Linked DNA regions of Rhinolophus ferrumequinum. The protein of the gene in region 1 interacts with the protein of each later gene in a biochemical or structural test. Links are inferred from orthologs where the notes say so. Each region holds a gene or a part of one and is shown in the gene's direction. Other genes may lie near its edges. The genes, in order: TLN1, ITGB3 and RET.

Region 1 (7,834 bases):
CCTGAGCCACCAGGACAATCATGCCCCTTCCCTTCTCCCCACCCAACCACGCCAGTAAAGAGGGGTTGAGGGTGACCCAAGCATCAGAATCACTTATTTATTTCTTTCCTCACCCTATCCCCTCACTGCATGAAATGTTCAAGGAGGTAAGTTCATCCTCCCAGGCCCATTCACAGGGTGATAGGCATCCATGGGTACAAATAAAAGACCCAGAAAGTTGGTTAAGTGTGGTGTGTTTGAGCCCTCAGGCTTCCTGACAGGGCACAGGAGCTGAGACCAGCCCTCTCCCGTTCTTTTTCATTTGGACACGACTGGAGGCATCAGGCCTCACAACTAGCCTGAGTATCTGCCCTGCAAGATAACAGATACGGGGCTATGGGTTGGGAGCCATCCCATCTCTCTCGTGTGATTTGCATGCAGGGAAAGGATGGGACCAGGGCAGGAGGACTCTGAGAAGGGGCCAGGGAGTGGCAACTTCAGGGAAGGCTCTGTGCCAGGAGCCTGAGGCATGTAGAACAGGCAGCAAGAGTTGCCAGGAGCCTGGAGCTCGTCGTATGAGCTGTCCTTCGGTACCGCCGACTGCAGGGCAGGCAGCTCCAGCTGGTGAGGGTCCTCACTAGGGAGGGCACGAAGCTGGCGGGATAACACTGAGGAGACAAAGACTCTTCAGGAGCAGGCCAGGCTTTCCCCCCCAGACTCCCCTTAATGGTATCAAGCCTCTCACCTCCGTGCTCAGCTGGCAGGCTCCCCCTTGCGTCCGAGGAGTACATAGCAGGTACAAGGAGGAGACAGAAGGAGAACAGTAGGACCTGGAGCACAGGAAAAGGAGATGAAGAAGGGCTCTGGATTGTACCCGTGTCCCTGCCACCTGAGAGAAAAGGATCTCTTCTTCCATCACCGTCCTCACCAAGACACAGGAGCTGCTGCTGCTGGTTTTGTTTGATATCTGAATCACCATGGCCTGGAGTCGCCTTAACTGATCCAGGAGAGACCTAGGACAGAGGACAGTGAGCAGCCTGTCACCTGGCACCTGAGACACAATGAAACCCTCCTATAAAGGCCACCCCTCCATCTGTGCACTAGGTCCTCTTTGTTTTTTTTTAAGCAGGAGAAAATGTTTAATAACGTATACCCCATGTATACACGAGACCCAGAAGCTCTAACTCGCTTGTTTTTTGTCCTATTTTTGCAAATAGGACATTTTGTCCTCTCTGTGGACAAAATGCCTGAAGTTCCTCATTAAAACAAATACACACCTCTGCCCTGCCCTGACTTAAACTCTTGCAAAGTCAGTGGTTCTATACTGCCTAAGTAGCTATGCACATAAACCTCACCAGGCAGCCTACATTCTCTCCCTTCTGTCCCAACTCACCTATGTTAGGATTCCAGCCAGACTAACCTGTGCTGTGTTCTCTCTCCCTAAAATGTTCCCCCCCCCGCCCCCCCCCCCCCCCCGAATCCTATCTACTACCAAATGCCATCTGCCCTGTGAGGTCTTTCTTACTCCCTCCTTTTGTCTTTCTTGATACTTAACTCATCCTTAGTTACTTGTGAATTTAATCCCCATTACTGTGAGCGTCTTAGAATCAGACCCACTAAAGGCCATACACCAGACCTTGCATGTGGGAGCTGCCCAGTTGGAAATCAAATGTAGAGCAGGGAAAAGAGTGAAAGCTCATTAAATGGGAGGGATGAGAAGAGACTGAGGTTAGTTGCTTACAGATTCTGTTCTTCCAGGAGCTGTACTTTGTTCTGTAGCTCCAAATTCTGGGCTGTGTATTTCAAGACCCTGGGGGAATAACAGGGATGTGGGGATATGGCCTGTATCCTCCCTTCAAAAACATATCACTTCCAGCTACTTCTGTTCCACCCACCCCAGAGCCCCTCTCCTGTTTATACCTGCTCTCTAAACTCCCCAGGTACACCTTCTTCTTCCTGCGGCTCTCTTGAGCAGACTTTTTATTGCGAATCTTCCTCCGCACTCGTTTCAGAACTTGTTCCTCCATCTGAGATAATACAGGGAAAAGGGGTATCATCACAGAACACTGGACCAAAGAGTTGGAAGGCAACTGAGTAATCTTGCCAATGCACGAATCCCTTCTACAGCTTCCTTGACCAGTAGGCACTTGGCTTCTGGCTAAATGCCTCTGAGGACTAGGTGTTAACACCCTCATAAGCCAGACTATTTTTAACAATTTTATTAATTAAAATTAATCTTCCCTATCCTGAGCCAGTATCTGCTTCGATAATTCTATCCATTGGACTTACCTCATACCTAATCTCGGGAGCTATACAGAACAAATGGTCTTCAGCTATTTTAAGACACTCAACATTTCCTCCAAGCAAAGATAAATCTGGGCAACTTTTTTGGGGGGTGGGATAAAATATTTAACTCATCATCTTACCTCCTCAGGATGGACTGTGTCCTTTTACTCCTTTTACTATCTGTCAAAGATCTGGACTCAAAACTTGGCACTAGGATATGCTCTGACCAGTATAAAGGAGAGCAAGATAGTCACTGCCCTTCTAGAGGAAATACCTCTATTGATACAGCCTCCAAACCCCATTCACTTTCTTAGTGACCATATCACACTGCTGACTCATCTTGTACTTTTAAGAAACTCTTTTAACCTTTCTGTCAATGAACATTGATCTCATCACAGTATCACAATATTATGCTTGCGAGACTGCCACCCATTGCTTCTTGAAACTTAAAACTCAAGATTTTACGTTTATTCTTGTTATACTACTAAGTCCAGTCTTGAACTCTAAAACTTAATTCGACCTTTCAGCTAGATAGATATGGTAATCCACCTAGTGAAATCTAAATGTCAGAGCCCCTTGCTTGCACAGTCCTTTCCAAGTCCCTATACTAACTAATGCACTGGTAATTTTGAATTCTTTCCTACAAAGAATACCAAAATTTGTGTAAGCCCCACAAAACCAGGATCTGCCCCTGCATCCAGTATATAACTACATCCCCCGGCTTCCTATTAGCAGCAAATTTGCTTAATTTCTCACTTTCGTCCTTTAGTAAGTTACTGATGAAAAATTAACAGAATTGGACTACTTGGGACTCAATCCTCACCCCTCCAGTCTTTGATCCACCACTGGGAGTCTTACCTTAGTGAGAGGAAATGTCTCTGGCAGAGTAAGCCCCTCCTGCTCCAATAGCCTCTTTTCCTCATCTGTCAGTATCAGCCTAACAATCTCCTGGGGTTACAGAAAGGTGGGAGGCAGAGTCACAAGGGAGCATGTCAGAGAGGAATGAGGAATCCTGTCTGCAATGTGGGAATAATGTGCAATGTGGGAATAATCCTCCAGTAAACAAAGTACCTGTTCTGCGGGCTCCTCCACATGTAGGGGTGTCATCTGGGCCTCCTCTTTTCCAGAACTCCCACTATCTGCAAAAGGGAAAGTGAATAGCCAGGTTCATGAGTCCCTTCCTCCCCTCAAAATTCACTTATTTCAGACTCACCTAGATCTATAGAAACATGTTCCTGTGGGAGAGAATAGGTGTGGTCATGATGGACCAGACAGGGATTCGAGCTGTTGAGAACGTTCGACGATGCTGGGAAACTCGTCAGGCAGCTCAGGAAATCCTCTACATCCCAATCGCTCAGTGCCTGAACAGGATTCAAATTAACAGGCCTTGACCTACCACCATCCTCAAGAACACCCCGCCCCCCACCTCCCGGGCTCAGAGCCCCCGCCCACCTCGGAAATCGGCAACTCCCAGTCCAGTGGAGCCTCGAAGGACGCATCGGACGCCACCCCCAAATCTCCATTTTCCTCTAGTAGTAAGGCCAACAGGTCCTGGTCACCCGGGTCCAACGCCAAATCCATATGGGCCACCTACAGAAAGAATGGGCACAAGCGCAGGAGTTCACCCTTCCACCCGGCCCCATGCACGACCCTCACCGATTGTGAGTCAGCCCCACCTATCCGCTAGTCCCTATTCGGCCGGCTTTCCCCGTAGCTACTAGTCGTAGCTCTCAAACAAGACCCGCCACCGAGACTCGGTTCTCCGCAGCTTCCAACACAACGGAAGTGACACGCCTACCCCAAAGCATCCCGGGACTTAAAGTTCTCTCTAAACGCGGAAGTGGCTTAGGTGCCGCGCCACGTCCCGGGAGCTATGCAAATACAGGGGAGGTCCCTGCTGCTTCCTCACACCCTGAGGGCGGGCATTCTGGGGAGCCGGCGCCGCCTTTGCCCCAAGCTAGAATAAGGAAGGATCAGACTCCAAAGGAACTGCGGTGCAGTTCGGCCGTTTCCCCGGGACTGCGCCGCACCCTTGCTTCCTGCGGGGGAGGGCCAGACGGTCTTCAGCGCGCTCCCGAGCATCGAGAGCTGGGGCCAGAGCAGCTTCCTGCCGTCCCCCGCAACCATAGAGCGCGGGCCCAGGGCGCCGCCCGCGGGTGGGGGACGTTCCAGGGACGGAAGTGGCCGAGAGTGCCGAAGGGAGGGCGAGGCCGGAGCCCGAGAGCCATCGGGAGAACAGACGGGCTAGCGGGCCAGCGGGCGGGGCACAAGCCGGGCAGCTCAGGTAGGCTGGACTGGGCCAAGGGGGAGTCTCAAGGTGGGGCCTCGAGGCCAGGCCGGGGAGGCGGGTGGGCAGGCGGGGCCCCTAACTCTCCTGCGTCTCCTGTTTCGGGTCTTGTTGGAGGGGTCAGCGTCCAGTGCATCCGGGGTTGGGCTCGGAGTTAGGTAGGCCGTTTTGCGGGAGCCAGGCCCTTCCTGGGAGCAGTCTTCTGTCTGGGATAGGTTTTGGGGAGGATGAGAAGTAGGGTGGTAGTGAGGTGCAGGGTGGGGATCGGCTTTTGAGGTTAGCTGCTAGGAAAGCGTTGGGTGAGTTTGGGATTAGGTGAAATTAGATTTAGGAATCAGGTTAGCTTTAGGAGTTATAGAGCCAGGGTTGAAATTTATAGTTATTAGCCTGAGCCAGGTCCCTTTTATATAGATAAAGTTTGGATTAAGGTCATTATTTTGTTTTCTAGGATGGCCAGAGTAAGTCAAAATTAGAGTTCAGGGTCAACAACAGGAATTAGGTTAGAAGTTCAGTTTCAGGGATTAGAGAACCGTGGCGTATTAGGGTCAAACAGTGAAGGGATGGGTCAGGAATCAACTGACAAATGAGCTATAGGTTTAGGAGTCAACATTTACGGTTAAGGTCAGAGGATCTAGTGCTAAAGGTAAAAATTCTATCAATATTAGGGATCAGGGATTGGATACAGGTATCTTCCCAGGAAGGGATGAATGTCAAAACCGGTATTGGGAAACAGGAAACAAATTAGGGTCAAGGTTAATATTAGAAATTAGGGGCAGTTTTAGAGGTGGTGGTTGAGGTTAGGGTAGTGACTTCAAGCAGGTAAAAGTTACAACATTGGCAGTAGGTGGATGTCCTTGTTTTGCGGTGGTGAAGTCTCTTTTTCCTATGTAGTTGCAGGGGCTTCTTTGACCTAGAGAAATGACAAACTAATTTCACGCCATAGTTCTGGACTTCAGCTAGAATTGCAGGCATCTGGGATTCCACCTTCTTTATTCTACTCTCTAAGCCAAAGGCTCTTGCTATGGCCACCACATTTGAGAGGCAGGGGTTCCCAGACTATGTTGTTTACAAGATAGGAGGTGGGAGACAGGTCAAGGCCTAGTCATAAGTGGGGGACCGCCTAGGGGAGAAGGGACGGGTGACTAAGAGGGAAGTAGAGCAAGGAGACACTGTTGCCAAGGGAAGAAAGGGATGACTGAATCCTCTCAAAGTTCAGCCCCACTGCCTCCTATTTCCTTCATTATCTAGATATTAAGCCCTCCTCTCCAACTCTTCTCCCTGGCCCTGCATTTCACACTCTTCCTGCATATTCCTTTACAGAATACTTACCTTGCCTTTAATTCTCCCATGTTCATCTTACCATCCATTCCTAGCCTCAGGTCTGCCTCCCTTCCTACCTGTTAATCTACACATCCTACCTTAATTTACCTTCACCCAAATCCGAGCTTTCCCATTATTTTACAGCACTCTCCCACCATTTTCACCCACTCATTCACCTGTATACCTCTTAGTCATTTGCTGAATACCCCACCCCCAGCCCAACACAACTGGCAAGTACCCCTCATCCCTGCTATGTGCCATTCCCTGATTCTAAGCCTCCTTAATTTCTTGGTCCTGTTGTAGATCCCCTTCCCCCACTCCCTAAACAGAAAAGAGGAAATGAGACCCAAAGAGGAAACTGGGTCTTGCTGATCCCACGCCCAGGCAGGCCACTGACCACACCCCCTTTTACTCCCAGCCTGACCCTGCCATTGACCACAGCACTATCCCCTACCCAGCCTGATGCAGCCACTGGCTGCACCCCATGCCCTGCCCCACCCCAGCAACTCCAGCTTTACTTAGACACTACCAGTGTCCCTTTACTCTCCCTCCATCCCAGCCTTCCTAATTTAGCTCCTGACCACAGCCCATCTCTTCTCAGCCTCCTGTAGCCTGACCTAGCCTCTGACCTCACTTCATCCTTCCCTGACTTAGCCACTGTCCACAGAACTATTCTTCCTCTTCCCCAGCATAAAGTGGTGACTGATTACATATGTATTTTTTCCTACTGCCATCTTACCCCACGTTTCTCGGTACCTTGTCTTCCCCATTTCCAGTCCAGTTCAGTAACTAACCTTATCACTTCTTTTTTAATTTTAAAAGGAGGCATGTGTATGCATTGTATTTTTTAAATTAATTTATTTTCCAATTACAGTTGGCATACGATATTATGTTAGTTTCCAGTGTGCAACATCGTGATTAGGCATTTATATACTTTACGAAGTGACCACCCCATAAGTCTAGTACTACTTGACACAGGATACTAACCTCATCCCTTTTGCTCCTACGTGGTACCGTCCACATCCCCACCCCCTTTTTCCCACAGCCTAACCACATCCCCTAACCACAGCTCATCCTCACATTCGCAGCTCACCCTGATCCTTTCTTTCCCCCTTCCCAGTTTCTTACCTAAACTCAAGCTATCCCAGCCACTGAGGGGCCACTAATGACAAGAAGCCTGACTTTGGGCCCTGGGCCCTGAGGGGTGACAGGACAGGCTGTCATGAGGTCCTTTTAGTTCTATGTCTTAAAGTTTCCAATGAGTGACATCCTTCTCTCCACTATTCTATTTCTGGCTTCATTACCCCCCACTTGTGCTAATGCAGTGTCCTTCTAACCAATCTCCAAAGTAATTGCCAATTATTTTCCTAAAATCCAGTTCTTGTGATGTCCCTTCCCTGCACACAGCCTCCCTTGGCCTTCTGTTGCCCTCCAGGAGGTAAAATCCCTCATACTTCTCTCTAGTCCTCCCTTGCCTTTCCATCCTAACCCTAACTGCTCCATTGCAGGTACCCTGTGCTTCAGCCAGCCTGTCTGCTCACTTCTTGAATGTTCCTCCATGGTTTCCTGCTTCTCCACCTTTGCTTATGCTATTCTCTCTGCCTGGAATGCTACCCTTGACTCATCTCCGGCTGATGTAGTGGAGAGAGCTTGGGCTTTGGAGTCAGAGAGACCTGGGTTCGGATCCTGGCTTCATACCTTATTAGCTGTGTGATTTTGGACAAGTACCTTGAACAAATTTTTAACTTCTTGGAGCCTCCGTTTCCTAATCTGTAAAACTGGAAATAATGACGCCTACCTTGCAGGGTTGTTGTAAGGATTGCCGAAATTATGTATACAAAGCAATGGACATATAGTCAATAAAAAGATCACTATTATTTTTTATTATCTTTATTTTTTTTTAATTTTAACTTCAAAGGACACTTTTCATGGAGATTTTTTGGTCCCCTTTCCCTTACCTAA
Region 2 (8,370 bases), on another chromosome or scaffold:
CCTTTTGACACTGAACATAGGCAAAGCAGAATTACAGGCCTCAAGGGAAGAGAAACATGTGAGGTGAGCCCTACATCTCCCCAGCTTTCTGCCTGGGGGAGTTTTCTGGATTGCAGTTCAAGAAGGTGGACCCTAAGAAGTGCATGATGGTCTCACTGAGCTGAACAGCATAGCTTAGAGTTCAGGGCTGCTGAGGAGGCTGTGAGTGGCAGGGAAGGCTTTCAGAGCGGGACGCAATGGACAGAGAGGTGCTCCCAGAAGTCTGCATGGGTGTGCCCCAGGGTCTTTAGATGAGGGTTGGGCTGCACAGACATGTGGTTAGACTCTGTGAGGCTTTGCAGAGAGCAGTGAGAGCTGGAGCAGAGAGCTAGAGCAGAACACTAGAGGTTGCACATGGCTTAGAGATGTTGGTGTCTCAGCCCAGGCAAAGTGAAAAGATGTCACTGAACAACTCAAGTACTTAGGTGATACAGAAAGTTCACACCTTAGGAGTAAGGACCATGTTCTACAAAAAGAAACCACACCTTGGGCAGCCGATTGACTCAGTTGGTTAGAGTGCAGGTATCATAACACCAAGGTCGTCGGTTCGATTCCCACATCAGCCAGTGAGCTGCGCCCTCCACAACTAGATTGAAAACAACTTGACTTGGAGCTGATGGGTCCTGGAAAAACACACTGTTCCCCAATATTCCCCAATTAAAAAAAACAAAAAAACCAAACACACACACACACACACACACACACACACACACACACAAACAACCACACTCTAAGACTAAGGACAAAATAAAAAAAGACCAGTTCTGAAAAAGAGTAAAACCAAGCCTTGATCAAGATAATCTGCCAGTAATTTAATTGCCTAATAGAACAAAACTCAATACTTTTCAAGGGACAAAAGAGAGAGAGAGAAACAGACCCAGAGATGAGTCAGAATTCCCAGACTAGAATTTTAAAATAGCTGCTGTAAACACGTTTAAGGACTCAAGGGACCATGGAGACATAATGATCGAAGATACGGGGGAATCTCAGCAGAGAAACTGAAACTATAGAAGAGTCTGAAGGGAAATTCTAGAATTGAAAAATACAATGTCCAAAATATTCCCTGGATAGACTTTATATCATATTAGAGACGCAAAAGAAAGAATTGGGAAACTTTAAAAGAGATTAATAGACTATTTAATTAGAAAAACAAAGAAATGACTTAAAAAAAAAAAGAACTGCGCCTCAGTGGCCTGTGGGATATCTAAATATTTATAATTATATAAATATTTATAATAATAAATATTTAGATATATCTAAAATATGTGTAATTGGAGTTTTGGAAGATAAGGAGATAGCTAATGTGCAGAAAAAATATTTGAAGAAATAATGGCTAACACATTCCTATTTGGTGAAAAATATTAATAAATCAGTTATGTATCCAAGAGTCTCATCAACCCCAAACAAGATAAATACAAAGCAAACAGCATATATTTAACTTACATCAAGCTATTGAAAAACCAAAGATAAAGAGAAAACTTAGAAGCAGAGACAAACCTGGGACAACTTGAGCAGCAAAATTAATAATGATAGTAATGGATTGTAACCCAGAGAATACAGTAAATATCTATGAATTCATATTGATATAAATATATAACTGTATTTTTAAAATGAGAGGTAAAGGGCAACTCTTCTTTACTGTGGAATACCAATTAGTAGCTGTAGAAGGGAAAGGGAAATAGTATATAGCACTATTACTCAAACACCACAATAATTGATTTCAGTCAAGAACCACTGATGTATGCTAAAATTAGGGGGTAAAGGTATGGAGAGAAACAGGGTAGTTGCATAGAATTAAAGTATCTTCCCATAAAATATTTATTAATTACAGAGAAAAATAGTAACTTTATAGCAAAGAAAGTTGGTAGACACCATCTTAATCATGTGATCAAAGTTAACATTATAAGTAATAAGACATATTGTCATCACGTATCCTCTGAAATGATACACTAACAACACACATCATTTTTATGGTATTCTTGTCCGGAATGCCTCAATGCAATCATGAGAAAACATCAGACAAACCCATACAGAGAAAACAAAACTGGCCTAGACTCTTCGAAAGTGTCAAGGTAATGAAAGAAAAAGACTGAGAAAATGTCACAGATTGAAGGAGACTGAGGAAACATGATGACAATGCAGTGTGGGATCCTGAATTGGATGGATCCTGGAACCAGGAAAAAGATATTAATGGGAAAATTGGCAAAATTCAAATATTGAAGGTAGACTAGTTAATAATATTGTATCAATGTTAATTTCCTGTGTTTGATAATTATGTTATGGCAATATAAAATGTTAACATTAGAGGAAACTGAGTAGAGGATAAAAGGCGACTCTCTTTAGTATTTTGCAACTTTTCTGAAGTGTAAATGATTTCAAAAGAAAAAGAAAAAAAAAAACCAGATGGAAAAGAGAGGGGACAAGAATGTAAATGATGGCTGACTTCTCATCAGAAACAATGGAGGCCAGGTTGGGGTGGGACAGGGGGAGTGTGCCTCAACATTTTGCTCAAGCTATAGATGTAGTGGAGCTATGTCTTGTTTTGAGTTGCTTTAATGCATTGTATTAGGTTTTCAAACAGCATAAAGCTTGTTTTGACACATAACAACAAAAGAAACAATGGAGGCCAAAAACAGTGGAACCACGTCTTTAAAGTACTGAAAGAAAAAAACCTGTCAACCTAGAAATCCATTTCTAAGAAATATCATTAAAAATGAGGGTGAAATAAACACAGTTGAACATATTTGTTGTCCGTGGACCTTCATTGTAAAATTTTCTAAAGTAAGTTCTCCAGGGTGAAGGGAAATGAAATCCGATAGAAACTCAGAACTAGATGATGGAATGAAGAGCATCTGAAATGGTAAACACAGAAGGTGCCCCCAAAATGTATATACATTTGAAGAAAGAAAAAAAACTGTATTAAAATTTTAATACTCAACATATACTGATAACAATAGATGAATATAAGTAATGTGTATACATTTTTTGGCACCCCGGGATGTGTGTGTGTGTGTGTGTGTGTGTGTGTGTGTGTGTGTATAATCTGGCAAATAAGTAAATATCTAGGCAGAGATATAACCAGGCTACGTGAACTAGATTTTGCTCCATGGCAATAACGATGCTCTTGAAATGGCTTCTAGCCTAGAGGCCCTCCACCAGCTAGGGGAGGTACATGGAACTGGCCACTCAAAGCCCAGGTCAGGAAGCCCAGCTACTCTTTGTGGGCTGGCTCCTCCCCTGCCCCCTTGCACACTCCTAGTGACACTTCTGCTGATGTGTGTTAACCACTGTGTGTATCCTAGTGTTTGGGAGGTCTGAGGAGGGAATGTCCAGCTCTGCAGAGATTGGGTTTGGAGGAGAGGGGCATCAGAAAAGATTACATGGAAGAGGTGACATCTGAGATGTTTTGATAGATAAGTGGAATTTTCCAGGTGGAAAAAGGAAGGAAGATCAGTCAGACAGAAAGGCATGGAGTGTTTGAGAATGCTAAATATCTTTTGGGGCTAGGTGGGAGATGAGGCAGAGAGCTGAGTCAGGGCCAGTTTTCAGGCATCTTGTGTATCTCAGGAAAGGGCTTAGGGAAGCCCAGGGGTACCCCGATGGTCCTGAGGGGAGCTCAGGAGCTGGAGAGATTTCCAGCTCCTTCCTGAGGCCTTACGCCTTGTTTTAGAGCTACCCATCCCACAGCCTGCACCAGCCCCAGCTACTCCTCCCCTCCCCCCACCCCCCCCCCCCCCCCCCCAGCTCACAATGCTAGCATTTTTGTCCCTTTGAGCTTCCTGAGGTTTCTAGTCTGGTGATGACCCAGAAGGGACCCAGAGAAAGGATTTGGGGAAAGGCCTTTGAGGAAAATGTGATAAAGCTCCAAAGCCTGTGAGTTTGAGTTTGGAGACAGTATACAGCAGTAGCCCCTTATCTGTAGTTTAGCTTTTCCTAGTTTCAGTTACCTGCTGTCAATGGCAGTCTGATATTAATATTAAATGGAAAATTCCAGAAATAAAGAATTCCTAAGTTTTAAATTGGGCACAGTTTTGAGTAGCCCCCCGCCCCCACCTGTTTGTCCTGCCAAGAATATGAATCACGCCTTTGTCCTCTGTCCCACATGTCCGGGCTGTATAGCACTATCCACCCACTCTAGGTTATCAGATAGATGGTGGCAGTATCACTGTGCTTCTGTTCAAAATAAAACACTTGTTTTATTTAATAGTGGTCCCAGAGCGCAAGAGTAGTGATGCTAGCAATTCGGACATGCCAAAGAGAAACCATAAAGTGCCTCCTTTAAGTGAAAAGGTATGCATATGTAGGGGGGAAAACACCACAAACCCAGTACATATAAGGTTTGTATTGGGTTTCAGGCATCCACTTGAGGTCTTGTAACCCGTCCTTCCCACCCGTGTGTAAGGGGACACTGCTGTACTGACTGTGTCCTTAAATGTTTATCATCTACCTTCTATAGGCAAGCAAGTATTTGTAGAGAGAGGCCCTTTATGTTCATAACTGCTTATACAAGCTTGAGATGTGGTTTTGTCCTCAAGAGGCTTACAGTCTACCTGAAAACCAAACTCACCCAAGAAAAAACTAGTGAATAATAAAGGACTAAACCAGTGCCTGACACCAAGTAGGCATTCAACAGATATTTGTCAATTAAATGAATGTGTGAATGAATGAAAGTCAAGGTACAGAGGAAAAGCCCCAGGATGCAGGTGAAAGAGAAAGCCGCGTGGATGTCCCCGAGGAGGTGGGAGTAAGTCAGGAGAGGACCACAGGCCAAGTGCTCGGGCGCGGACCCTAGAACCAGGATGTCTGCAGAGGATGCGCCCATGGCCTCGCTCGGATCCCAGCCTCGCCTCGCTTGCTGATCATGGCGGTGAGAGAGGCACCGCGTTTTCCCACCGCCCCCTCTCCAGCTCAGGGTCCAGAAAAGGGCCCTAGGGGAGGAAGCGCAAGTCCGTGGCCCGCCCCGTTGCGTCCCACCCACGGCGTCCCCTCCCCTCCCGCTGCGGGAAAAGCGGCCGCGGGCGCAGCTGCTAGCTGTGGAGCGGGCGGGCGCGGCCGAGGCGGAGCGCCGCGGCGGGCGGACGAGATGCGAGCGCGGCCACTCTGGGCCGCGGTGCTGGTGCTGGGGGCGCTGGCAGGCGTCGGCGTCGGAGGTGAGTGAGGCTCCGGCGGCCCCTACGCGGCTCTCGGGGGACCCGCGCCGCGCATCTTGCCACAGCCAAGTTTGCAGACTTGGAGCGGGGAAACCTGGCAAGCAGGTCCCGCGTGGCTGCGCTCTGAGTGCGCGGGGCCAGGATGGGGCTGTCGGAGCCCGCAGCTGGGGACCTTCTCGGTCCCTGGGTGGCAGGGCGAGGGGCTCCCTAGGGGTGGGTCCTCCGGGACGCCGAAGCCATTCGCCGGGTTAGGCGCCAGTTCTGGGCGGCCTCGACGTGCGTAGTGCGGTGGGCCCATCCGTGAGCCCCGCGTTCAGCCCCGGGCTGCGCTCATCACAGGTGTTCAGGACAGTGCGATGAGAGACTGGCCCTGGTAGCCAGGGCGAGCTGGGGTTCCCCGGGGCTGTTCCCGTGCGTTGACTGAGGGATGGGCTTGTAGCTTCTCGGATGAGAGTGCGTGCGTGCGTGCAGGTTTGCCAATTAATCCACATTCCTCTTTTTCCTTGTGTTACATTTTCTCCCGTTTATTATTATTTTTAAACTTTGGTGACTCCCTGCGGGAGCGATTCGGAGGAGCATGACGGCTCTGCCTCCTACAGTGTTCCCGGGTGGTAGCGGTGTCTCTGCTTCCGGGACAGACCTGCATCCGAAATATCTCCAGTGTATGCGGGGAGCCACGCCAGGGGTCCCTGAAGCTGGCTTGATTCCCTGGCTTTGTCTCTCCTGCTGCTGCACTCACTATCAGCGGCCAAGGCAGTTGGCATTCGGCTTCATTGGTGCTCAAAAGCGGGCAGAGCCCAGCACAACCTTGGGCTGCTGCCGTGGTTCTTCCCGAGCTCTGGGACCTTCCCGGGGAGGTCTCGGACGCCTAGTCCGCTGGGGTGTTCTCCAGCAGAGGATGTACTTTCTGTGAAAGGAGGGCTACTCATCGTGAGACAATTTAAATCCTGAAGAAAGTATTTTTTTTTAAAGTAAGATGTACTGATAAATCCAGAAATAGTTTGATAAATGCCTTCAAGACTTGTATATGTGTGTGTGCGCAGGTGTAAGAGATTATACAGGACAGCGTAACAATATCTTTTTTTAAAAAATCACTTTATTGAGGTATGATTGACATACAAAAAGCTGTATATATTTAATGTATACAACTTGATGAATTTGGAGAGATGTATACAGCCCTGAAACCATCACCACATTCTATGAGCAATATCTTGATGGAGGAGTTATAGATAATAGATAGGGGGCTATTTAAGTTGTTGTTGCTGAAGCTTCCCAAGTGATGGAAGCTCAAACAGGTCAACTGATGTCTTTCGCCTGCAGTGAGCAGCCTGATGACCATGGCACAGAAGTATGAGTGTCCATCATTCCGCCCTGGGAGGTGTAGAGCCCTGGCTCAGATGCTGCCTGCTCTTGGTGGGGGTAATGGAGAAATACAGAAGGGCAACTCAGATGTCTGCCACGGAGATGCTAGCTTCTAGGAACTTAAAACATTTTTTTGCTTTCTTTTCTTTTCACAGCCACAGCTTTCTGAATTTCTGGATGATTTCTGAGTCTAATCCTTATATTTTCTTCCAGTTTTAGAAGTAAGGTAACATAAGGTAGAGCCTAGCATGGTTCATGGCTCAATATTAGTGAAGATGAAGAATAGATATGTTGTTTTGGTGTCTCTCTCTTTCCTTCTCTCAACCTTAGTATACCTTTCGTTGACCTGATTTACACAGTTGTAATAATCTACATAGAATTCCACTGCATTGACATACCTAAATTTGCATTAAATATAATCTAGGCGATCGGTTCACAGATTTGTTATGATCAGGGCAGTTTCAGCAGCAGTGATGGGTTGTGCTGAGCTAGTCCTAAACTCTCTCTGAGAAGCAGGGTAGTGGAGTGTTTAAGAGCATGAGCTCTAGAATCAGACCTCCAGCGTCATGAGTCCCCAGTAAAAGCAGATCTGATTATATTTAAGTCACCCATGCCAGTGTTGGTGGCTGGGTTGCAGGTGTCATCAGATCCCTGGAGAAGCAGGTGGTAGGATGAGAGTAGGAGAGTTGTGTTGGGACATACAGTGTTGAAGGGGCACAGAAAGGGCTGGGTGGGGGTGACACAGAGACACTGCCCGGGAATGGGACATTCTGGTATGGGGAGAAGAGGTTGTCTGAGGGTAGAATTGCGTTATGGAATTTATGTACAAAGGTGATCTTTTTAGCTGCACCCAAGAAATATGGGGTTTTGTGGTTTCCCCATAGATAGGTCTTTATTCTAACCTGAGATCTAATGGATAACAAGTTTTGTTTGCTATCACCATCTAAGTTGATTAGTTCTGAGATGAGGTGCTGATTTCTCCTCCTGAGTTTATATCCTGGGGAAAGGGAGAGCTATGGTTTAAAACCGGTCAGATGTGGGTTTAATTCTTGATTTTGCCTGTTATTGGCTGTGTGACCTTGGGCAAGTTACTTAATCTCTTGGGTCTTTAGTTTCCTCATCTGTAAAGCAGAGAAAGTCATACTTCTATGATTATGTCAGTTACATGAGATAAAGGCACAAAATAAGTATTAATAAATGGCAACTGCTGTTGTCATTATTTTTCCTGTCCATGGTATGTGCCATGTATTGAAGGCAAGAGCTGTTAACTGCTTCATGCATGAGTGCAATCCAGGCTCCCAGAATGAGCCCAGTGCGGTCCCTTTCCCCACACCCATGGGGTTTTCAACCCATTCCCTGTTGGTGGCTTGGCATATCTCAGCTACTCTGGCCCAACAAGAACCCACAGAAGAGGCCAAGAAAGAGTGGCTAATACATTTGCTTTATCCATGAGAAAACCTTAAATCTTGTCTCTGGGAAAAGAGGAAAATAAAAGACATCTACCAGATTTCAGGTTCCACGAGGAGAAGGACATGTCTGTTTGATAAACAGCCTGTGCCTAGCACCTGGCACATAGGCAGCAAAGTAAATATCTGTAGAATGCTATGAGAAGGCATCTAGAGGTGATGCGCCTCACTTCAAGAAACTCAATATTTGACTATCAGCATTCATTCCGAGAAGATTCTCAAATGCTCCCTCTGGGCATTCTGCAGGCTATTGGAGTACAGCTGAGGCCATGAATTCTTTGGGTAGACGGATCTCTGCACTATTGCACCATTTAGACCTCTGATCTGAAGGTGCTGGAAACTCAGGGGACCCT
Region 3 (7,650 bases), on another chromosome or scaffold:
GGCCTCTTTGCCTCAACTCCTACAGCCGATGGGAATCAGGAGGGACAACTCATTGGCTGTCTGGGGATTCACGTGTCATCGGGCACCTGGGGGAAGGGGACTCTGCTTTCCCATTGAGGCCCAGGGACATTCCAGGTCACACAGACAAGAGACAAAGCCAGGACACAGCTCAGAGCCCACCTGCAGCCTTCACAACATGCCACTGCCCTGGCCTCCCAGCCAGACAGCTCCCTGGACTTTAGAGGACGCTGAAAGAAGAGGGAGGAAAACGCCTCCTGAGCCAGGAACTGTGCAGATCCTGCTAATGCACCATTTGGGTGTGGCCTCACAACACTGCGAGGCACTAACCGTATGACATTCCCAGGTACAGATGAGGAAGCCGAGTCCCAGGGACACAGTTAGCCTGGTTCTGGGGCTAGGTGAAAGGAATAGAGCTGAGATTCCTCCTCGAGAAGAGGGAAGCGGAGGAGGCATGAAAGGAGAAGGCAGAAAAGCAGAGAAGGGGAGGGAAAAGGGAGAGGAAAGAAATTCAGAGGAGACAAGTCTGTTGTGGGGTCCATGGAAGGGTGAGTTGGGGCAAAGAGTTGAGGTCAGGCCTTCCAGGTGGAGGTGGGCCCTGTCTGAGCCTCAGGGTCTCTGACAGTATGCAGGACACAGTTGCTCCTGCTCTGGAGCCCTGGGCGGTCTGGACAAGGCAGCCCAACTGAGACTGGCCTGCCTGAGCTAACACCCAGCTACTGGTCAGGCCTGAGGAGGGTCCTCTCATTGGCCAGGCTGAGGTCCTGTCTTCAAATACCAGCTGTGTGTGAGAGGAAGGCAGGCAGGGCCTCCACACAGTCAGGGGAAGGATGTTCCTGAGTCACACCTTGGAGCCCCAGCCTGGTGTGTTGTGTGTTATGGGGACAGCATATTTGAAATGGAGGTAAGTGGATGGGGAGCCCCACGGTGGGCCCTCACAGCCGGCTAGTGAGCACTGGCTCTCCTTGCAGCTGCACCTGGAGGACAGCAAACAGACATGCCTGTACCTTAACACCCAGTGGAGTGACAGTGCAGCGGTTTATTACCTCTGCTTACAGAGGGGAAACTAAGTAAGCAAGCAACTAGCTACAGTACACAGTCAGCTTCAAAGCCCCTATGCTTCCAGCCTCTGTGTCACACTGCCTGAGACCCCCTCCCGGACCCCCTCTGACCACATCTGGCCCCAGGCAGGGGCCTAACAGGCCTCAGTCAGCAGTTCCTGGAATAATGTCTAGCCTTTTAGTGCCTGCAGGATTGGGCTGTGCTGCTGGCTTTGTTTCCTCGTCCCTGTAAGGTCCCTGGGGCCAGGATTTCCTATCCTTACACTCAGTCTCCACTCCTAAAAGCAGACTTTCTCCCTGAGTTGCCACAGCCACCTGGGTCCATGATCACAGAGCACCCTGGTCCATGATCACAGAGCACCCTGGTCCATGATCACCAGCAGCTCCTCCCCACCTGGACAAGCCGGCACCAGATGGGATCCCTGTCTGTGCTGTCCCTTCCCTGAGCTGTCTTTTGGGGCCAGACCCAAGGGGCTCCAGGTAGGCCTCACCTGCTCAGAGGCAAGGAATGCTGCAGGAATAACCTGTGAGTTGCCCGCCCATGGAGCACCTTATCCTGTGCTGAGAGCAAGGCCTCACTAACACTATTTCAGTCATTCCTCCCAGCCATCCAGATGGGGGAGCACTATTTTAGCCCCCATTTTAGAAATGGCAAAACCAGAGAGGTACAGTGATTTGTGCAATGTCACACGACTGTAAGTGGCAAAATTCAAACTGCTCTGACTCACTCCAAAGCAGAATCCCGTATCAGAACCTCTCGCGGGACTCTTTTTTAAGATGTCGATTTTTATGGAGGTGGAGCCCCGGAATCTATGATAAAAGGGGGGCTGTGGGCAGGGGTGGGGAGCACTGACAACACTGGGATGTACCCCCCTTACCCAGCTCCTAGAGAGCTTCTCAGTGCCTATGGAAGCCCATGTCCCTCAACAGGGCAAGGATGAGAGAGCCAAGTCCCAAGCATAGGTATGGCTATGATTGATGGAGCACTCACTTGTGCCTGGCACTGAGCTCCACCCTCACACATACTCCCTTTTCTATCCTCATCCGTTCTGAGGGGGATGTTTATAGTTGGAAGCTGAGGCACAGAGAGAGATGACTAGGGGAAGCCAGGACAGAGAACAGGAACCTCCTGCAAACTCTCCCATGCAACTGTCCCAGGCGCCCCTAGGACAAAGTGGAGCAAAGGGAGGGGCTTCCTGGGGAATCAGACCAGCACCTTTGGATTCGGCTGAAGCTCAGGCTCTGACCTTGCCCTGTGGGACCTCAGGGAGGCTGCATTCATTTCCTCTTTGCTGGGAGAAGAAGCGCCTTCCTACCATTCTGATGTTCTGGATCTTAAGCCAATGCACAATCCTAGGCAGGGCTGAGTCAGCCCCCGCCCGTAGTCCGAAGCCAGCAAGCCCAGGACTTCACTCCTTTCCCCTACTGGGTGCCCTCCAGACAAGTCCCTGCGCGTGCACGTGGGGGAGGGTACACACCCAAGTCCATACATGTTAGTACATACATATGCACATATGCACACACATGTACATGTATGTGCAATGGTACAAATGTGAGGCTCCCCTGACACTGATCTAAAAGGAGGGCAATGCCCACTCCATAGTGTCAGGCATCTATTCAAGACCCCCAAGGGTGGAGATGGAAAGAGAGTGGGAGGGGGAGGGGGACCCAGGCAGGAGCACAGCCTCCGATGGGACACACAGAGCCAGCCAGAATCCAGCCTGTTCAGTGTCAGCCAAGGCCTGGCCAGGGTACTCCCTGGGAGGTACTAGGGTGGGGATGGTTGGAAGAATGGGTCAAGTCACCCCTCTTCCTTCTGCATTTTCCTGCCACAGGAGCCTGTTTGTAACAGTAAAGTCCCCCTCAGCCCCTCCCTTTCTACTCAGGTCCCTTCCCTGGGCACAGCCCCGAGTGTCCAGCCTTGGTAGCCATTAGCACCAGAAATAAGGGTCTATCTACAAACAAGGGAGCCCCGTGGCCACCAGCCCTATAAATCCGAGGGTGTGGGGCTCTGGGCATGTGAGACAGGCAGCACAAGGTCTGATGGCTGAAGGGGGGCTCTCCAGAGCCGGGCATGCTGTGCCCTGGCCTCTTGCCACAGGCCGGCTCTGGCCATCTCAGCTGGCAGAACCCCCAGCCATCCTGTCTTGGCAGCTCCTCCTCCTGCCTGCAAGGCTGACTTCACTTTGACTTCATATCTGCAGAGTGATGTGCAGACCTCGTATTCAGCCCTGAGCTTGGCCAGGCAAGAGGGTGGAGCCCCAGCCTCGTGTGCACAGCAGGAAGAAGAGACCCTGAAGGGCGCCCCCAAGGCCAAGGTGCGCTGGACCTTCCCACCCCAAGGCTTCCATTCCTCTGGCCCTGGTGGAGGCAGGACCTCAAAAGGTAGCTAGGGGGTAGGAGGAGAACGGTGGGTTTTTCCCACAGAGGTCTAGAACCCGTCTTCACCTCATCCCAGGAACCCCATGTTAAAGGTCCTGAGTTCCCCCTTTCTGGGATTGTATGTGTTTGTGGGTATCCTTTCTTTGGGCGAACATTACATTATTTGAGGCTCCTGTCCCTCCCTGCTACGCGCTCTCCAACTCAGTTCCACATCCAAAGAGCTCTTCTTTTAGGGGTGGCTACTCTCCAAGCACCCCACTAGGCCACCAGGACCAGGTCTGAGAAATGGCGGAGGATGCGCTCCGCGCCAAGAGCCTGGTCCCCAGGTCCGCTCGGGTGCATCCCAGCCAGGCTGCCCAGACCCCGCATCCCCGCGTGGTTTAATTGTCTCGTGTGGGAGGCGGGGAAGGGTGAAGGGTTGGTACAGCGAGGGCGCACAGGCTGAGAAAGAGTGGCTGTGCGTGCGGACTGGGCTGAGGTTGGCAGGCCAGCACCCGGCGCCCCACACCTCGCTCCTACTCCTGTTCCGCTTAGACCACACCCGCACCCCACGTCCAGCACTGGTCCGCTACTGGAGCCTTGCTGGTTCCGCACTGGGCGCTGCCGGGCGGGTATCCCGAGCCCCGCCCCTACCGCACCCGCTCGGTCCCTGGCCCCGCCCGGCCCGCCCCCCTGGCAGCGCCGCCCCGCCCCTGCCCGCTCCTCCCGCGCAGCCCGCGCCTGCCTTGCCTCAGTCCGGCGATCAGAGCCCGGCCCAAGCAGCGGAGAGCGCCCCGGTGTCGCGCTCCGACGCTCCGCGCCCGCAGTGTCCTCCGCGTCCGCCGCGTCCGCCGCGTCCCGGGCGGGATGGAGCGGCCCGGCTGAGCACTACACCCCGCCGCCTACACCCCCTGTCCGAGCCACCATCCTCTTGCCGCGGTCCCGGCGCACACGGGCGATGGCGAAGACGACGGCGGGGCTGCGGTGGCTGCTTCTGCTGCCGCTGCTCGGCGAAGGTAAGTCCTGCTGGCGGCCGGGGCCAAGTTGGAGTGGTGGAGTGGACGCAATCGAAAACGCCGTCCTGTTTGCGGCGGGCCGCAGGCAGCGCGTTTGCGGGCCGCAGGGGCGGGGCGGGGAGCGAGGTGGTGCGGCGAGCAGGGAGCCTCAGGCCCCAAGCTGGGCGGGTCGCGGGCTGGGCCCGGCGGCCGAGGTCGCTGTTCACGGTGCGAGCTGCAGCCGCGCGTCGCAGTCTGGTCGCGCTTGGACCGAAGCGGACAGATACTGTCGCCCTTTCGTCGCAGATAGCGCGGGACGGGTGAGATAGCCCTAGAAAGCCAGCGACCTGTGCACGGAGTTCTGTTTCTGCAAAAGATCGCTGCGTCCTGGTTTCCTTTCCGCGCTCCACGTCGGTTCATTCCTCCTCCTGCCGTGATCCCCTGGCCCGCAGTGGGGTGAGGAGGGGATCTCCTCTTTTATAAAACGTTGCTTTTCCCTCGTGAGTTTTTTGCCGCCCAAATCTTTTTAAAAAACCTAAAAGCCTGTGGTTTCTGGGAAGCCTGCCCTCGATGGCCCACTCAGACTGGCCCAGCGCAGCCCACGGAGGGCCCACCGCGGTCGAGCCTCACCAGGCAGGCTTTTTAAGAGTCGCACGCCGTTGCCAGGCAGGGGCATCTGAAAGTGCGGCCTTTGGGACCGTATGATGGCTCTGGGTCAACATTTAATAAGCACTTTTGACCATCTTGGAGTAGGGTGTAGGGCCGTGTGCCACCAGTGTTGGTGCTGGGAGCATTAGATATGCTCTTGCAAAGGCTGGTCACCACCCCACCCCCAAACCCTGACAGGATGAACCCCAAGGCGGTAGATAGAATCTTTACTCCCCTCGGCCATGCATTTTACTTCCGTTCAAACCGTCCCTGACTGATCCCCTCCTGCTGTGCTTCTGAATGAAGTTTCCCTCAAAGAGGGAAACAGCCCTGGCTACCTCCCCAACACTACTTACAAAGGGTTTTCTCTCCCTATGGCCTTTGGGGACAGAAGAGGCCGTGGCACCCTGTGTCTAGGCCCAGGTCCTGCACAGATTCCGGGTTCACAGGCCTGCGCAAGGCTTCGTTTGTGTGACTGGATCCCAGTGTCAAGGAGCAGATACTGAAGCCAGAATCCTCAATGCGTCATAGAGAGGGCAGGGGAGAAGCCCTTTCTTTGCCGTGGGGATGAATGTGGGAAGGGAATCTGTTTCCAGTATTGGGACCCTGGGCTCAGTGCTGCTAGAGGAAGAGAGCAGGAGGCTGTGAATAGAGCCTGGGGGCAGCAGGGCAGAAGTAAACAGGAACAGGGTGTTATAGAGATCTCCTGTAACTCTTGGGTTGCAACTTTGTAATTGTGGACTTGTGGTCAGGTGTGAGCCAGAAGCAGTGTGCTGAGTGCAGCCTCAGCAGCCTTCAGAGGCTTTCCCCATACCATTCCACAGCCTTGTGCTTTAGCTGCTGTGCTCAGTGGAACTGTGGGGGGGCTGAACTGTGGGGGCTGGGCTGCAAGGGTGGGCCTGTGGCACTTGGCAGGAATAGGTGGCTTTTCTATCGCTGTGGTCCACAGAGTTGGGTGACCAAAGACAGGCTCTCCAATCCAGGGACAGTGAACCCCCAACTCTGCCCATCCTTCCCTTGGGATGACCAAGAAACCACGATTGGTGGCACTGAGAGTGGAGCGGTGGCCCCACACCACACAGGAAGAGACCGCCGAGGCCTTGGAGAGGCCTGTGGGTGCCCTCTACTAGGAGCAGCAGCCCTGGAACTGCCGGAGCCTGGGTCTCAGTGAGCCGCTCCCCGCTGCCACTAGCGTGCCTGCAGCTGCGCTTGGACCCGCCCAGGCGGGGAGCAGCGGGGCCTCTGGGCGCCCTCTTGTGGATGCAGCGCTCCAGTGCCTGACCTGTTGGGAGGAGGGGCTGGGTCTCTAGAGGATGCAGGTCATCCCCTGCTGGGCAAGATACCTCCCCAAGACCGGAAGCTCCCTTCGGTGCTGGGGGACTGACAGGAGGTGGGTATGGGAGGTGACTCGGAAGGGGTCAGTGGCCATGAGCAGAGAGCAGGGAAGGAGCAGCGAGCGCCGCCTCTGGGCTGGCAGGGGTGGGCTGGAGGACCCAGGGAGACCCAGAGCAAGGCCATGGAACATAGACACCCCCCCCAGCCTGCCTCCCCCTACTCTTATTGTGTGTAGCCGCACACACCTTCAAAAAAGGTGCCCACGCAGACACAGACTACCCGACAGGGCAGGACTTGCCTTCTCACCTACACCCTGGTATTTGTGTTCACACCCACACACACACACCCCCACATCCATTTTTGCACACACATGCTCACACTCATAGTCATCACCAGGACACACTCCTGCCCTTTCTCAAGGAGACATGTTCATGATACCTGTGGACACACACACTCCCCTCCTTGCCACTCACGCACACTGGGATCCCGCATATGCACACAGGGGCACTGGGCCCGCCCACCCCACCCCCAGCCATCAGCCCTGGCTATCTTTAAACCAGAGCTAGGGAACCTCCACCTAAGAGTTGTTCTTAGAAGAGTTTTTGGCCCTTTGCTGCTCAGCTCAGGTGCAGCCATCCCTGAGGCATAGATGAGGAGTGAGAATCCCGGCTCCTGGGACTCCACCTGCACATGTCCCCGGCTGACCCCTGTCCAGCACCATCTCCTTGGCCGCCTGCAACTCCTCAGCAGCATCACGTTTCTCATCTTCCTGGCCTGGCTTCTTAGGTCCCATTTTGCTCAGCCTTCTTGCTGTGAGGAAGGCCTGGGCAGCTGCTCCTGCCTGGACCAGCAGGTGTCTGAGTGGCCCCTGGCCAGGGAGGCTGCCCCACTTTCGGCTCCTCCCTTCTCTTTGGCCAGGGGCTAATAGAAGGTGGGTCCTGCTTCCCCAGGCTCTCCTGGGCCCTATCCTCTTACCCCACTCCCCGCTAAGTCCCTCTGGCCTCTGAGAGCTTGACCCAAACTGGCTGCCCTACACCCCAGCAGGGACCAACCTACCTGGGGACAGAGGCTGAGCCAGCTGGGGGGCTCCTTAGGGTGGAGCCTGAGAGCAGAGTTAACGGGAAAGTTTTGCGAGCCCATTGCTGAATTGTCTTTATTCTACAAAATCGCTTGAGGGATGGCTAACTAAATCAGTTTCCTTGGTGGTGTGAAGAAAATGGGACTCATTCACC

What was found.
Region 2: the proteins of TLN1 (region 1) and ITGB3 form a complex in vitro, tested with the Homo sapiens proteins (6 studies listed by BioGRID and IntAct, with this or other methods). The link is inferred for Rhinolophus ferrumequinum from reciprocal best matches to the Homo sapiens genes TLN1 and ITGB3.
Region 3: the proteins of TLN1 (region 1) and RET interact in a surface display test, tested with the Homo sapiens proteins (2 studies listed by BioGRID and IntAct, with this or other methods). The link is inferred for Rhinolophus ferrumequinum from reciprocal best matches to the Homo sapiens genes TLN1 and RET.

The regions. Positions count from the first base shown.
Region 1 is NC_046295.1:51,912,122-51,919,955, reverse strand, and holds the start of TLN1 (talin-1), read left to right. Parts: upstream 1-4,326; 5' UTR 4,327-4,549; intron 4,550-7,834. Other genes in the region: CREB3 (cyclic AMP-responsive element-binding protein 3), read right to left, coding at 334-647, 725-809, 908-992, 1,721-1,789, 1,900-2,006, 3,124-3,213, 3,337-3,404, 3,479-3,626 and 1 more. UniProt on the Homo sapiens protein: High molecular weight cytoskeletal protein concentrated at regions of cell-matrix and cell-cell contacts. Involved in connections of major cytoskeletal structures to the plasma membrane.
Region 2 is NC_046304.1:41,270,707-41,279,076, forward strand, and holds the start of ITGB3 (integrin beta-3), read left to right. Parts: upstream 1-5,033; 5' UTR 5,034-5,122; coding exon 5,123-5,189; intron 5,190-8,370. UniProt on the Homo sapiens protein: Integrin alpha-V/beta-3 (ITGAV:ITGB3) is a receptor for cytotactin, fibronectin, laminin, matrix metalloproteinase-2, osteopontin, osteomodulin, prothrombin, thrombospondin, vitronectin and von Willebrand factor.
Region 3 is NC_046299.1:67,027,659-67,035,308, reverse strand, and holds the start of RET (proto-oncogene tyrosine-protein kinase receptor Ret), read left to right. Parts: upstream 1-4,165; 5' UTR 4,166-4,398; coding exon 4,399-4,456; intron 4,457-7,650. UniProt on the Homo sapiens protein: Receptor tyrosine-protein kinase involved in numerous cellular mechanisms including cell proliferation, neuronal navigation, cell migration, and cell differentiation in response to glia cell line-derived growth family factors (GDNF, NRTN, ARTN, PSPN and GDF15).